3 linked regions of the Caenorhabditis elegans genome follow. The protein of the gene in region 2 purifies or fractionates together with the protein of the main gene of each other region. This does not show direct contact. Each region holds a gene or a part of one and is shown on either strand. Other genes may lie near its edges. The genes, in order: F07A11.5, gmap-1 and zyg-9.

Region 1 (3,755 bases), on a different chromosome or scaffold from region 2:
TACCGTAGTATCAACTGCATCGACTTTGATCACGGCGGTATGCTCAACATCATCGACTCCTTTGGATGCAAGCAGGACACCTACAATTCAAAAAAAAATTTATTGTTTCAAATTATCCCAGTGTAAGTCCCCCAACCTTTGCCTCCGAGAGTTATGATCGCATGTTGAGGTCCCATTTTGAGCATTGCACGTGCTGCTTTTTCAGCGTCTTTCACGTTGTTTTGAGCGATTCCAGTGATGAATTCCGCCTGGAAAGTTGAAATTTAATTTATTTTTTGTTCAGAACAATATTTGGAAAAGTTCAATTGATTAGAAAAAATAACATAGACCTACTTCATTCTCATTGGTACAAATAATATCAACCAGCTCGAGAATCGTCTTATCCATATTCGGATCCCCAGGAGCTGGATTTAAAAAAGTGGTGACTCCGTGACTTCTAGCAATTTCGAAGGCTCTTCTATTTCCTTTTTCGTCAATTTCTCCCTGACAAATGACCATTTTCGAGCCAGCAATTTTTGAAGAGTTCGCATCAGCGATTTCAGGCGACATTTCAAGATTTGCACCCAGCGTCACCACAATGTTGTTTTCGCCTGGAAATTTTGGAATTTGGATTTGAAATAATGTAAGTCTCATGTAAATCTGAAAATCAAGAAAATTTAATTTTTCGAATTTACCATATTTTAATAGTTTTACACCTCAATTGCACTGTAACAAATCGAACTTTTCATGTCTGTAGATGCTATTTGAAATATTTTTTCTACATATGTCAAATTCCAATTTTCTACTAGATGCATCACATTTTGAGCTCACTTTTTGAGTCTAAAAATTTGTAATTCTCCTTACCCTCTCTCCCCCACTTCTTACTATTAGTTCCAGTTCAAAGTTATTTGTTTGTCGTCGTCACTGAAGGTTCTTCGAAATAATAAGTTATTTATATTACGTCACCAAAAAAATGGGGGAAAAAGAAAGAGAAAATAGATTCTATGAACGTAGACAAATCGTTTTCAGAACAAAATTAGAATTTCAGTGATCTACGAGCTATAAGAACAGATATAGCTATAGGAACTTATTCTTAACCCGGTTGGCAATTTTTTCTTAGAGGTAGGGTCTTGCTACAAATATTGAATGTTTCTTCAAGACATTCAAGAGGCCACACATAATCTTAAATATTTTTTTCCCGCCAAAACTCGGATACAAACCTTCTTTGTTAACAGTGATAGTCGCTGTGGCGGTATGTGTCTTTTTGGTCCGTCCCACACAACTTGTATCAACTCCATTGCTGCTCAAATCCTTAATATTAGAATCTCCGAACATATCTTCTCCAACCATTCCAATCATTGAGACATTGATCCCTAGGCGAGCCGCAGCAACTGCCTGATTGGCGCCTTTTCCGCCGGAGCCCAGCTTGAAATTGTGACCGCGCACCGACTCTCCAGGTCTTGGGAAACTATCTGTGTAGCTGGAAATTGGTAGTTTATAATGTAAAATTGTTTAATGAAAGATAAAATTTAAAAAAAACAGACCTGACAAGATCCTGAACGATACTTCCGAAAACCACGATTTTCTGGTTTTCACTTGACATAACGATATGCTTTTTTTTTAATTTAGAAAATTCTGAAATAAAAAAATAAAAATGCGATTGATAGCACGTGTCAAATAATCAAAGAAACACAAAAAAGAGAAGAGAGAAAGAGAATCAGGTGGTTAGCTTGTTGAGGGCAAAAACTGTTTGCCAACAAATTTGGCAGCTGGTCAGTTATGGTAAGAGAATAAGACACACGTAGTATTATTTTCCAGAAATTTTTTAGGTGGCTAAAAATGCCTGCCTGCCTCATGCCTACACTCTACTGAAAGGAAACATGTTAGTCCTCTTGAAAGCGAAGCAAATAATTTGTAGGCAGGCACGTAGGCCCGTTCGCATGAAGAACCTACAATGATGACAGACCCTATAATTCCTAGAAAAAGCTTTCAAAAACCAAAAGCAAATTTTAAAAAAAGCAAAAAAATTTTTTTTGAAGGTTCCCAAACAGATAATGTTCCCATTTTAAACCATTCAGGTCAGATAAAATTGTGATCAAAAATTAATTGTTTTGGTTATTTTTTTGATCTTTAAAAATTTTCACTGACAGTGATTTTATGTGAAAAAAAAACAAAACAATGGCGTCATATATCACGGGCCAAAATTCAGAAATCAGGCGATAGGCAGGCACGTAGGCCTGCAAAATGGCACGTGAATGGCCTCAAAATGCATTGAACTAAAAACAGATAATATTTGGAACTCGTATCTTATCTTTTCCCCTTCTTATCAATTTTCATCGGCTTATCTTGATTTCTTTTTTCTTTTTTTCCTTTGCAGTCAAGGACAGAATTTTAATTTTGAAATTAATTTATTCTCTTCGGGGAACAAAAAAAAAACTGAAACCGGTCTCCGTGGATTCAAACAATTGTTATTTTAATAATCAATAAAATTAGGAAAATTAATGAAAAATATATAAATATTAAATCAAAGATGTAATATCTAAAAACATGGTAACAGGTTTTGAAAGAAATGAAGACAATGAACAACACGTGGAAAAAAAAATTGATGAATTTATGAAAATCTAGAAAAATGACTAAATTTTGACTTCTTCTGGAGCTCCAGGATCACACGAGTAGTGGCGTCTGAAATAAAAAATTGTTCATTGATCGGAATAGGTTACTTTGATAAAAACCCAGCGCGGTGATCATTAAAAATTAAATCATTAAAAAAAAAAAAAAACTCATCAGTTTGAAAATGAACAACTAGTTCCAAAATAAAAAATATTATGGAAAAACTTTCAAAACCTTTTTTGAAATTTTTATTCCAGTGAAAAAGTTCTGAACATTCAGTTTTCAAGCATTACCTTGTAAGTCGGTCAAAATATGTTATCCTGGTTTTTTTTTACTAATTTCGTACTAATTGTTTTTTTCAAATTCTAGGAGCTCGAACCTGCAGGATATCTTAAATAACCACAGAAATTCACAATTTTTTGGCGATTTATGAAATCTTTGCCTAAAAGTTTTGAAAAAACAAGCAAATCACGGTTTCTTATTATTGAAATCCAAAATTTTTATTTAATTTTTTAAAGAAAAATTTAAGAAAAAAATTTTCAATTTGCGTGACCTCGGTCGTGGAACTTATTATTTAGATTTGGAATATATAAATTGTCCAAATCTGAAGCTGAATCAATCAGTTCTCACTTTTATCCAATGCTTACAAATTCAATTATCAATTTGCTTATTACAATAGTGCTTTCTAATCAACTATCATACTATCAATACCGTGCTGGAAACTATCTCAATTATTTGAACGTCTTCGTCTCAAAAAAAGCCGTTCTCAGGATTTATCGATTTTCTTGAATTTCAGGAAATTCTTTCCCAGATTTATAGTTCTTGGGGTTTCCAACTCACTTGAATATACTCCTCGTCACATTCTGATCTCTCATTTTATAGAAGAGTAAGTAAGCATCCTCCGTTTGTAAAGTGCTCGTAGACTGCCGAGCCACCGTCGAATCATCGAAATTCCTCCATTCGATTTTCGTTTTCGACGAATCAAAATCGGCGAGTCGACCCATACTAATATAATGACCGAAGTAACTGTTTCCACTATGGCATACTACTCCCGTTAGATCATACATCTGAAATTTCAATATTTTTTGAAAATAATTACTGTGAATAGTTACCGTTGAATTAGGATGTGGAGATGTTTCTGCTAAAAACGGAGACATATCAAGACT
Region 2 (3,755 bases):
TTTAGATTACTACCCCCAAAAATTAGTTTTAAAACTTTGAAGCGCAATCTTCACTCTGACTGGTTTTTGTGGTACACGTTCCGACTTTATTCCCTCACCATGATCCGATTCCTCCACACCCATTAGCATCAGCATTTACGCATCGTTCTGGCTTTCCGTGGATTCCGATTCTTGTCTCAAGATGCACATAGTATTTCTTGGAGCCATTTAGTCCTGGGGCATAAACCTAAATTGATGAAATGTTTATTCTGGTTTGCAACGAGCTGATCACTAACCTCAACTTTGCCACCGGACATTCTGAAGCATTTGTGTCCATTCTCTCCAATTTCTTCGTGGAATTGAACTCCGGCGGTTTTGTATGATGGGAACTTGATGAGCAAAGAATCTTTCTTTGGACCTGAAAAATTGAAAATTGAATTCAATAATTAAAAAATAATAATGTTTAGGAGAGCCTTCATAATTTATTGAATTTTTTTTAAAGAGATACATACAGTCTTTTGAATTTTCCGAAATTGTACTAGTTACGTGACCTTTCGCATTTGTGTGATTTATTATCAACTTATAAAATCGAACACAGTGCTAGATTTGTCAGTTTTTTTGCAAAATCCCCATCCTTTTCCGACCTGGGATTTGGCGAAGCGTTCCACAAAACAGGAAATAATGGAAATAGAGATAAAATAAAATCGGGACGTCAGTTTTTCTTTCTGATAGCCTACCCCCTCTACTCTGTTATCGATATCATTGACGATACAACAGTATGGCGTCTCCAAGGCCACGCACTTCCTAGCCGTCGGCTGCAGTTCGATCAATTTTTTTTTCTATATCCCTAATCAAACAACTGATTGGGTCGCCGGGTAGAGCAATGTCTCGAGAAGCTTTGGATAGGTGGACAATTGAATTAAAAACACGTTTTTTTTGTTCGCAGAAAAAATGACGTGAGTAGACAGTCAATGGACTATTGAACTAATTTCAAGTGTCTAATTTTATTGGTCAATTGGGAAAAAAACTGGATTTTATGAAAAATTGAAGTGTTCACCTTTGTTGATTATGTTGTATTGAAACAGGGAACTAAAACATAGAGTTTGAATGGCTAAACAAAAAGTATACAAGTTGATTTCGACGTGAAAATTTTTGACCCTCAAAATAGTTAAACTTGTAGCTTGAAATCAAACTTTATCCCAAACAACATATCAGATTTCCGTTGATGCATTTTCACTATTTGTTTTTGTTTGTTTAAACCGTACGCTTAATAGCTAATGGTATAATATTAATTGCTAATGGCATAAATGAACACGGTTTTTTGGGGCGCTTGTGATTTGCAAAGCCTACAGTAATAAAAATGATCCTATTTAATAAATACCAATGAATGTTTTCTATTTAGTATTTCAAAGTTCAGATATTCAAACATTCAAAAATTCGGGGACACTAAAAAGTGTTTCGTATCATAATTTTGGAGTTGGATTTTAAACTTGATAGTGGTTCCTTGACCATTTCACTATAAATTAAGCAACATCAAAAAATAAAAAAAACTGAAACAAACCTGAACTAGCTGAGCATGGGAAGTGTCTTTCGATGCGGACAGAGATCTCCGAGGAGGCGGCTGAGACGCACGCGGCAACGGCACACAACAGTACGATTCTTCGGGTCGTCATTAACGCAAGTCGTGTTTCTCGACACACTGGCCACTGGAGGAGAAGACGTCGAAGTCGTCGACGTGATAGGATAGAATACAGTGGGCGGAGTGAGTTTTGTTTCGCGAAAGGCGGCTGCCCATACACCTACCTAGGCACGCGACCCCCACCTCTCAGAGAAAACGAAACAAGAGTAAGGTGAGGAGAGTAAGACGACGGCGACCCCCTGAAATAGAAAAAAGAGTGATCTGACACCATTGTCACTTATGTCGTCACAACAGAGATAGTTGACCTTTTGAAACTTGGGGTTTCTTGAACTTTAGTGAAAAATGTAGGAAGTGTCATTTTGAATGGAGTTAATCTTTTGGCATTTTCTAAGAAACTGCTTGTATAGTGAAGTGTATAGAAGTGCTCTTGTTCGACAATTAATGTATTATCCAGTCGTTTTTCTCTTATTCCCTTTACTGTGCATATGAAACTAAAAGTGTCTCAATTTTCTGATTGTATCCAATTTGATATACGATAGACATAAAAGAAAACTATAGTGTTCTTGTGTTACCACTTAACACAACCGTCCAATTTATCGTTTTTGTGAGTTCCTACCCGAATTCGAAATGTATTTCAAACATAAATAAAAAATATTAAAGTGATACTTGTAATGTTGAAATGCCTACTCTTCTTTCTTAAAAGCAGTACATTGGATTATTGCTTTATTAGTCTCAAAATTGTCTGAAAACACCGAATTTCATAATGAAACTTGTTAAAAACTTCTCAAAAAAAAACCTAATGACGGCTCAAAAAATGACCTAAAATTGTTAAAATTTGAAATTTGATCTACTAGTCAATGTCGCAGCGGGTGGAAACAATTTTTCTTTTTCTATATATTGACTGTTTAGCAAGTTTGGTGTTTTATGTTTTGTGTTGCTTTGATCGACTACGAAAATTGAGAAAACCAAGAAATGAACCAGAAACCTCAAAAACAACTGCTGGCCCTCTTTTTATCAGTGACATCATCTCTACGCTCATCTATCAATATGAGTAATTATGATCATTATGTTTATATCTTGATGTAGCCGTTAGATAATTGAGTCTTTAGCTAAGTCTATCGCATCAATTAATAATGACGTTGACTTTGAAAATATAGGTTTGGGTTAGTTTACGTTTGTATTTGGGTTTACACTATTTGTGATTTATGGGTCAAATTTTGAAGTCGCTCAAAGAAGTAGGTAGATCATAAGCTTTACACTGTTATGGTTTTTTTGTGTAAAGCTGTACAAGTAAATGAGGCAGAAGCCAAACGAGGGAACAGAACAATGAGAGGAGAAGTTCGAGAAAGCTGGTATCAATTCGCCTCCTTTTTTTGGCGATTCTTTGTATTGCAACGATCTACGTCATTCTACTCCACTCATCGCTTTTTTCCTTTTTTTCGGCGTCTCGCATTTTCTTCAAAAGCATCAAATTGAAGATGGCTAACCACACGAGAACAAAGAAAATGGCCACAACAGAAAGGAATGCCGTACTTTCAATACTACTGTTTCATTGTGAATACTGAATGCGAAATTTGAAATTGCTTTTTCTCAACTGCTATTTCAGGTTTTCAGAACATCTGACCTACCATTAAAACATTAATACTATTCAACTCTTGTTCAATTCAAGTGAAGTAAAAAGTGAAAATATCAAAACTGGTTGTTTTTTCAAAGTCTGAAGTACTTGAAAATTAAATATCTAGAGGGTAGATAAGTACAGAAAAAATAGTAGAATATTGACTGAATCAAAATTCTTGGCCACCAATTGCTCATAATTTCAGCTTGATTTTTTTTTAAAATTTGTGTCCAATATTAGTGGCAGAAAACTGAAAAAAAACCTTGGATTTGCTTTTTAAAACTTAGTGGCACAAATCACAATAGATCGAACGTCGCTGTGTTTTATCTTGAAAGGTGTATTTCAGATGATGAAAAAGTAATTTTGACATTTTTGAAAGAGCGAATATTCATATTTCAAGTTCGGACGGATTTACTGTATTTAAAAAATACGTCATCAAACTTTCGATTTGCCGAAAAGTTTAGTCAGAGATTTGGTATTATGACTGTTTGAGCATTTGCAATCATGATTTTTTTTTGCCAA
Region 3 (3,755 bases), on a different chromosome or scaffold from region 2:
GAAAGTTTTCATACTGTCTGTGAATTTTTGAAACATGCATGTCGTAGAAAAATACATACATGTAACAGTGCCAGTAAACCGCGTTTTAAGTGTTTCAAGTTTTTTTCATGATGAGAAATTTTTTGAGTGATTGAAGGTATGTGTGTCAAATACTTTTAATGGTGCCAGGCGTTGCCCGCGCCGTAGGCGCGGTCAGCGGCTGGTTAATAATAATAAAATAACTCACATCTGCTTTGTGAATCGATTTGACCATTTCAGCAATCTCTGCGGGCCCAGCTTCATCCAACGCCTTCTGATGAAACTCCTTGATTTTGCTCATTTTCAGATTATCCGATGCAATATCGGCGAGAAGTTGCAGAGAAGGTTTTTCTCCAATGGCTCTCATCATTGCTCCCATTGCAGCGTATGATGCTTCACGAACTTCCGAATCCGAATCACCAGAATGTTTTATCAACGACGGGATCAGCGTCTTCAAAGTCTTCTTCGGCATGGTCTGTGAATTCAGTTTCATGAAGCATCGTTGAAGGAAAAGATCCGTTTGAGTCTTAATGCTTGGATTTGGTTTTCCGAGCGCTGCGAGTACGATTTCTCCAACTGCTTCGAGATTTGTGGTTGCAACAACTGCATCAATGCAAGCAACCAGCGGATCACGTAGAGTTGGTTTCTTCTCTTTGAACTTCTCAAAAATGATTGGAGTCACAGACACAGCAAACGGCTGGAACTTCGTACGGAGACCATTAGCAATACCAGTTATACAATTGGCCGCTAGTGCAGCCACATTGATATTTGCATCTTTCTCGAGGACCTTAATATTTGAATTTAAAATAATTTTTCAGGACAAAATACACATACCTTCTGCAATCTCTCAACGAGTGCGCCATAGTTTGCCTTTGGGTCGAGCTTCGGATTCGCTGTGATCAATTGAAGCAAACCTTCAAGCGCTTCTTTTCGTTCCTGCCATTTCTTGCTTTCGATGTTGGTATCAAAACCGTCGGGCATTTTGGAAAGTACGTCGAAAGCGTCAAGAAAATCCCAAGGATCGGCTTCCGCAACTGGAGCTCCAGATGAAACAACAGCAGTTGCTGTTCCGCCGGATGGATCTCCCGAAGCAGCACTTGCCGAAGGTGTCGAAGAAGTGGGAGCGACTGGTGGAGCATTTTTAGCTTGTTCTTCTGCGAAGCTAGCGGTTGATTTTTCAGCATATTCCCCAATCTTTTTCATTTTCCCTTCATCGGAAGAAGCATCGCCGAGGAGATTTTTAACGTTTTTGTCTCCAATGATGCGCTGAACAGCTCCTAAACCTTGAAGAGATGCCTCTCTGACATCTTGATCTGCATCGCCAGTCAATTTTCCAAACACAGGCACAACAGCTTTGATGAATCCTTTTGGTTGTTTTGCTGGAACCACCAAATCTAACTGCCGAGCCACAAAAAGTGCAGTCTGTTGCTTGATCTGAGGATTTGGTTTGGCCAGCGCCGCCAAAATGTCTTCCTGACCAGTTTCCAAAGATTGCATTGTACGGCCGACTTCATTGGAACAGTCTACAAGAGGTTCTCGGAGCATCGGCTTCTTTTCTTTCATTTTTTCGAAAATGACGGGAAGAAGTGGTCCTGCGAAAGAAGAGAATTTTGCACGTAATCCCGTTGCGAATTTTCCGATGCATTTGGCTGCAAGCGCTTGGCAATTGATGTTTGCATCTTTTGCTAGAACCTGTAAAATGAGATTGCAGAAATGACCGAAAAATATGAAAACCAACCATCTGCAGATGACCAATAAGTTCGGCATATGAAGCTTTTGTTGAAAGTCGCTCATTGTCCGTGAGTACTTTGAGAAGTGCTTCCAATGCCTCTTTTCGTTCCTGCCATTTTTTGGATTCTCGCAGCTCATCGAAGTTCGGTGGAAGTTTGGGAAGGATATCCACCTCGTCCAGATAATCCCAATTGGACATTATCTGAAAAATGACAGTTTACTACGTGCCTTGCAATAAACAAAGAAAGCGAACGAAAATAAGTTTTGAAGAGAAAGGAGATTTCAACAATAGATTTCCGGTGGAGAACGTAGAGGGAAAAAATCAATATTTTCGAACTGCGAGGGGTAATTGGGGTCACATGGAACTTTTTCGCCGCAAGCCCATTTTCGACCGATTTCGCAACCCGTCAAAAAGAAGCGCAAACAGAGAAACAGAGGCGGACGGGCCGGCTCAGTTGCACTACGCGGCAAAAAAAAAGAAAGGACAAAAAATCAATGAATTCTTTATACAACTTTTTGTTCGAGCCAAGTGAATACTAAAACACTACGCAGATAATAAATTTGATTAATTAGATAATGGAAGTGCTTCACAAAGAAACAAAATCTCAAAAAAAGGACGAAACATCTCGAACAAACGCTTAACACTGTGCGACAAACACTGAAAAGCTTAACTTGCGACGACAAATTATTTAAACAATTTAATGATGAGCTCACATGGGAACAACTGATATTCATTGAAAAAGTGCGAAAGCGAGAAGGTTTCCGTTGCGCTTTTCAAAACTATTTTCTACCGCGCGTTCGAATAAAAATGTCGTCAAGTGGCATGCTTGATACGCAACGCGCGCGTAAAACGACGGGGCTGTCAACTGCGTACTGAACAAGAAAGGAAACATTTTCTAAAAAGCTCTGTTAAATAGCGAAATTTGGTCTTAAAAATAATTAAAGCGCAACGAAGAAATGTTTATTTCAAAAATACGAATGCAAAATGAACAAGAAGTGTTTTGGAAGGGAGAATTCGCGCGCTTAAGCCATCGATCAAGGTCAATTTCAGATATGGAGACCGGGAGATGAAAATTTTTGATTTGTAACAAGACAAAAATGAGCCTACGCCTAAAAAACGCGTTTGAAACGCGAGAAAAACAGGAAATTTGGCGCCAAAAATGCTGTGCGGTCTCGACACGACAAATTTTTGATAAATGAAAAAGGTGCGCGTCTTTAAAGAGTACTGTTGTTGCAAACTTTGGTTACTGCAGATTTTCTATCGATTTCTCAAATACCGTATATTTCCTATTAGCGCTGCATCTTCAATAGTACTACAGTCTCTAATAATGTGTGTTTTTGTATATTTTTGATGGTTTCTTGTTAATTTACAAACATCATATTTATTTTCTGATAATACTGCAGTCTCTAATAGTGCTCGAAAGTTAGTGTTGTATGCAGCACGCGTAAAAAAAAGGGCCCGAAAGTTAGTGTTGCATGCAGCACGCGTTTATTAAACCTTTTTTTTTTGAATAAAAAAATCTAAATTTTAACAATTCGTGAGAAGAAGCATGAAAAACCCCTATGGTACTTTTGCTTATGTTAATTCGTGTTGTCTCTCGACGTGGATCTCACAAAAAAAACGTCCATCGTACTTCTTGGAGGCTCTTATCCTACCAACGGTTCCTGAAAGCTGGTGGCTTCTGGCGCAATATCATATAATTCACGGTGAACTCGAAGATAATATTTTGACTCTAAATAAAAATTTTCACATATTTTGTCTCATCGAAAATTCGTCTATAACACAATAACATACATATAAACATACGGTATAAAAGAAAACAATGTATCATGAAACAGTGTCAGTTGAGTCAGCGAAAAAGTCGTTCTTCTGACGATGTCGAAGAACATTCCATTTTTTGTACAAGTACGTTTTTCTTTTATTTCAAAACTAGACAACATGTTGAAAAATCATTCACAGTTTTCTTTAAAATTTCCAACGTAGGACATGACAATTGTTGTAGTAT

Evidence for each region.
Region 1: the proteins of gmap-1 (region 2) and F07A11.5 fractionate together in Caenorhabditis elegans (co-fractionation; one large-scale study listed by BioGRID). This does not show direct contact.
Region 3: the proteins of gmap-1 (region 2) and zyg-9 fractionate together in Caenorhabditis elegans (co-fractionation; one large-scale study listed by BioGRID). This does not show direct contact.

The regions. Positions count from the first base shown.
Region 1 is NC_003280.10:11,610,164-11,613,918, reverse strand, and holds the start of F07A11.5 (Ribokinase), read right to left. Parts: upstream 1,620-3,755; 5' UTR 1,583-1,619; coding exon 1,524-1,582; intron 1,460-1,523; coding exon 1,200-1,459; intron 591-1,199; coding exon 334-590; intron 249-333; coding exon 137-248; intron 81-136; coding exon 4-80; intron 1-3. Other genes in the region: F07A11.4 (ubiquitinyl hydrolase 1), read right to left, coding at 2,613-2,661, 3,430-3,656, 3,702-3,755.
Region 2 is NC_003284.9:12,933,244-12,936,998, forward strand, and holds the start of gmap-1 (GM2 Activator Protein family member), read right to left. Parts: upstream 1,736-3,755; 5' UTR 1,653-1,735; coding exon 1,541-1,652; intron 398-1,540; coding exon 276-397; intron 227-275; coding exon 99-226; intron 1-98.
Region 3 is NC_003280.10:8,456,014-8,459,768, reverse strand, and holds the start of zyg-9 (Zygote defective protein 9), read right to left. Parts: upstream 1,952-3,755; 5' UTR 1,949-1,951; coding exon 1,757-1,948; intron 1,711-1,756; coding exon 853-1,710; intron 806-852; coding exon 227-805; intron 1-226. Other genes in the region: F22B5.6 (Serpentine Receptor, class J), read left to right, coding at 3,626-3,655. UniProt on the Caenorhabditis elegans protein: Plays a major role in organizing microtubules and spindle poles during mitosis and meiosis in one-cell stage embryos. Required for default nucleus positioning in oocytes.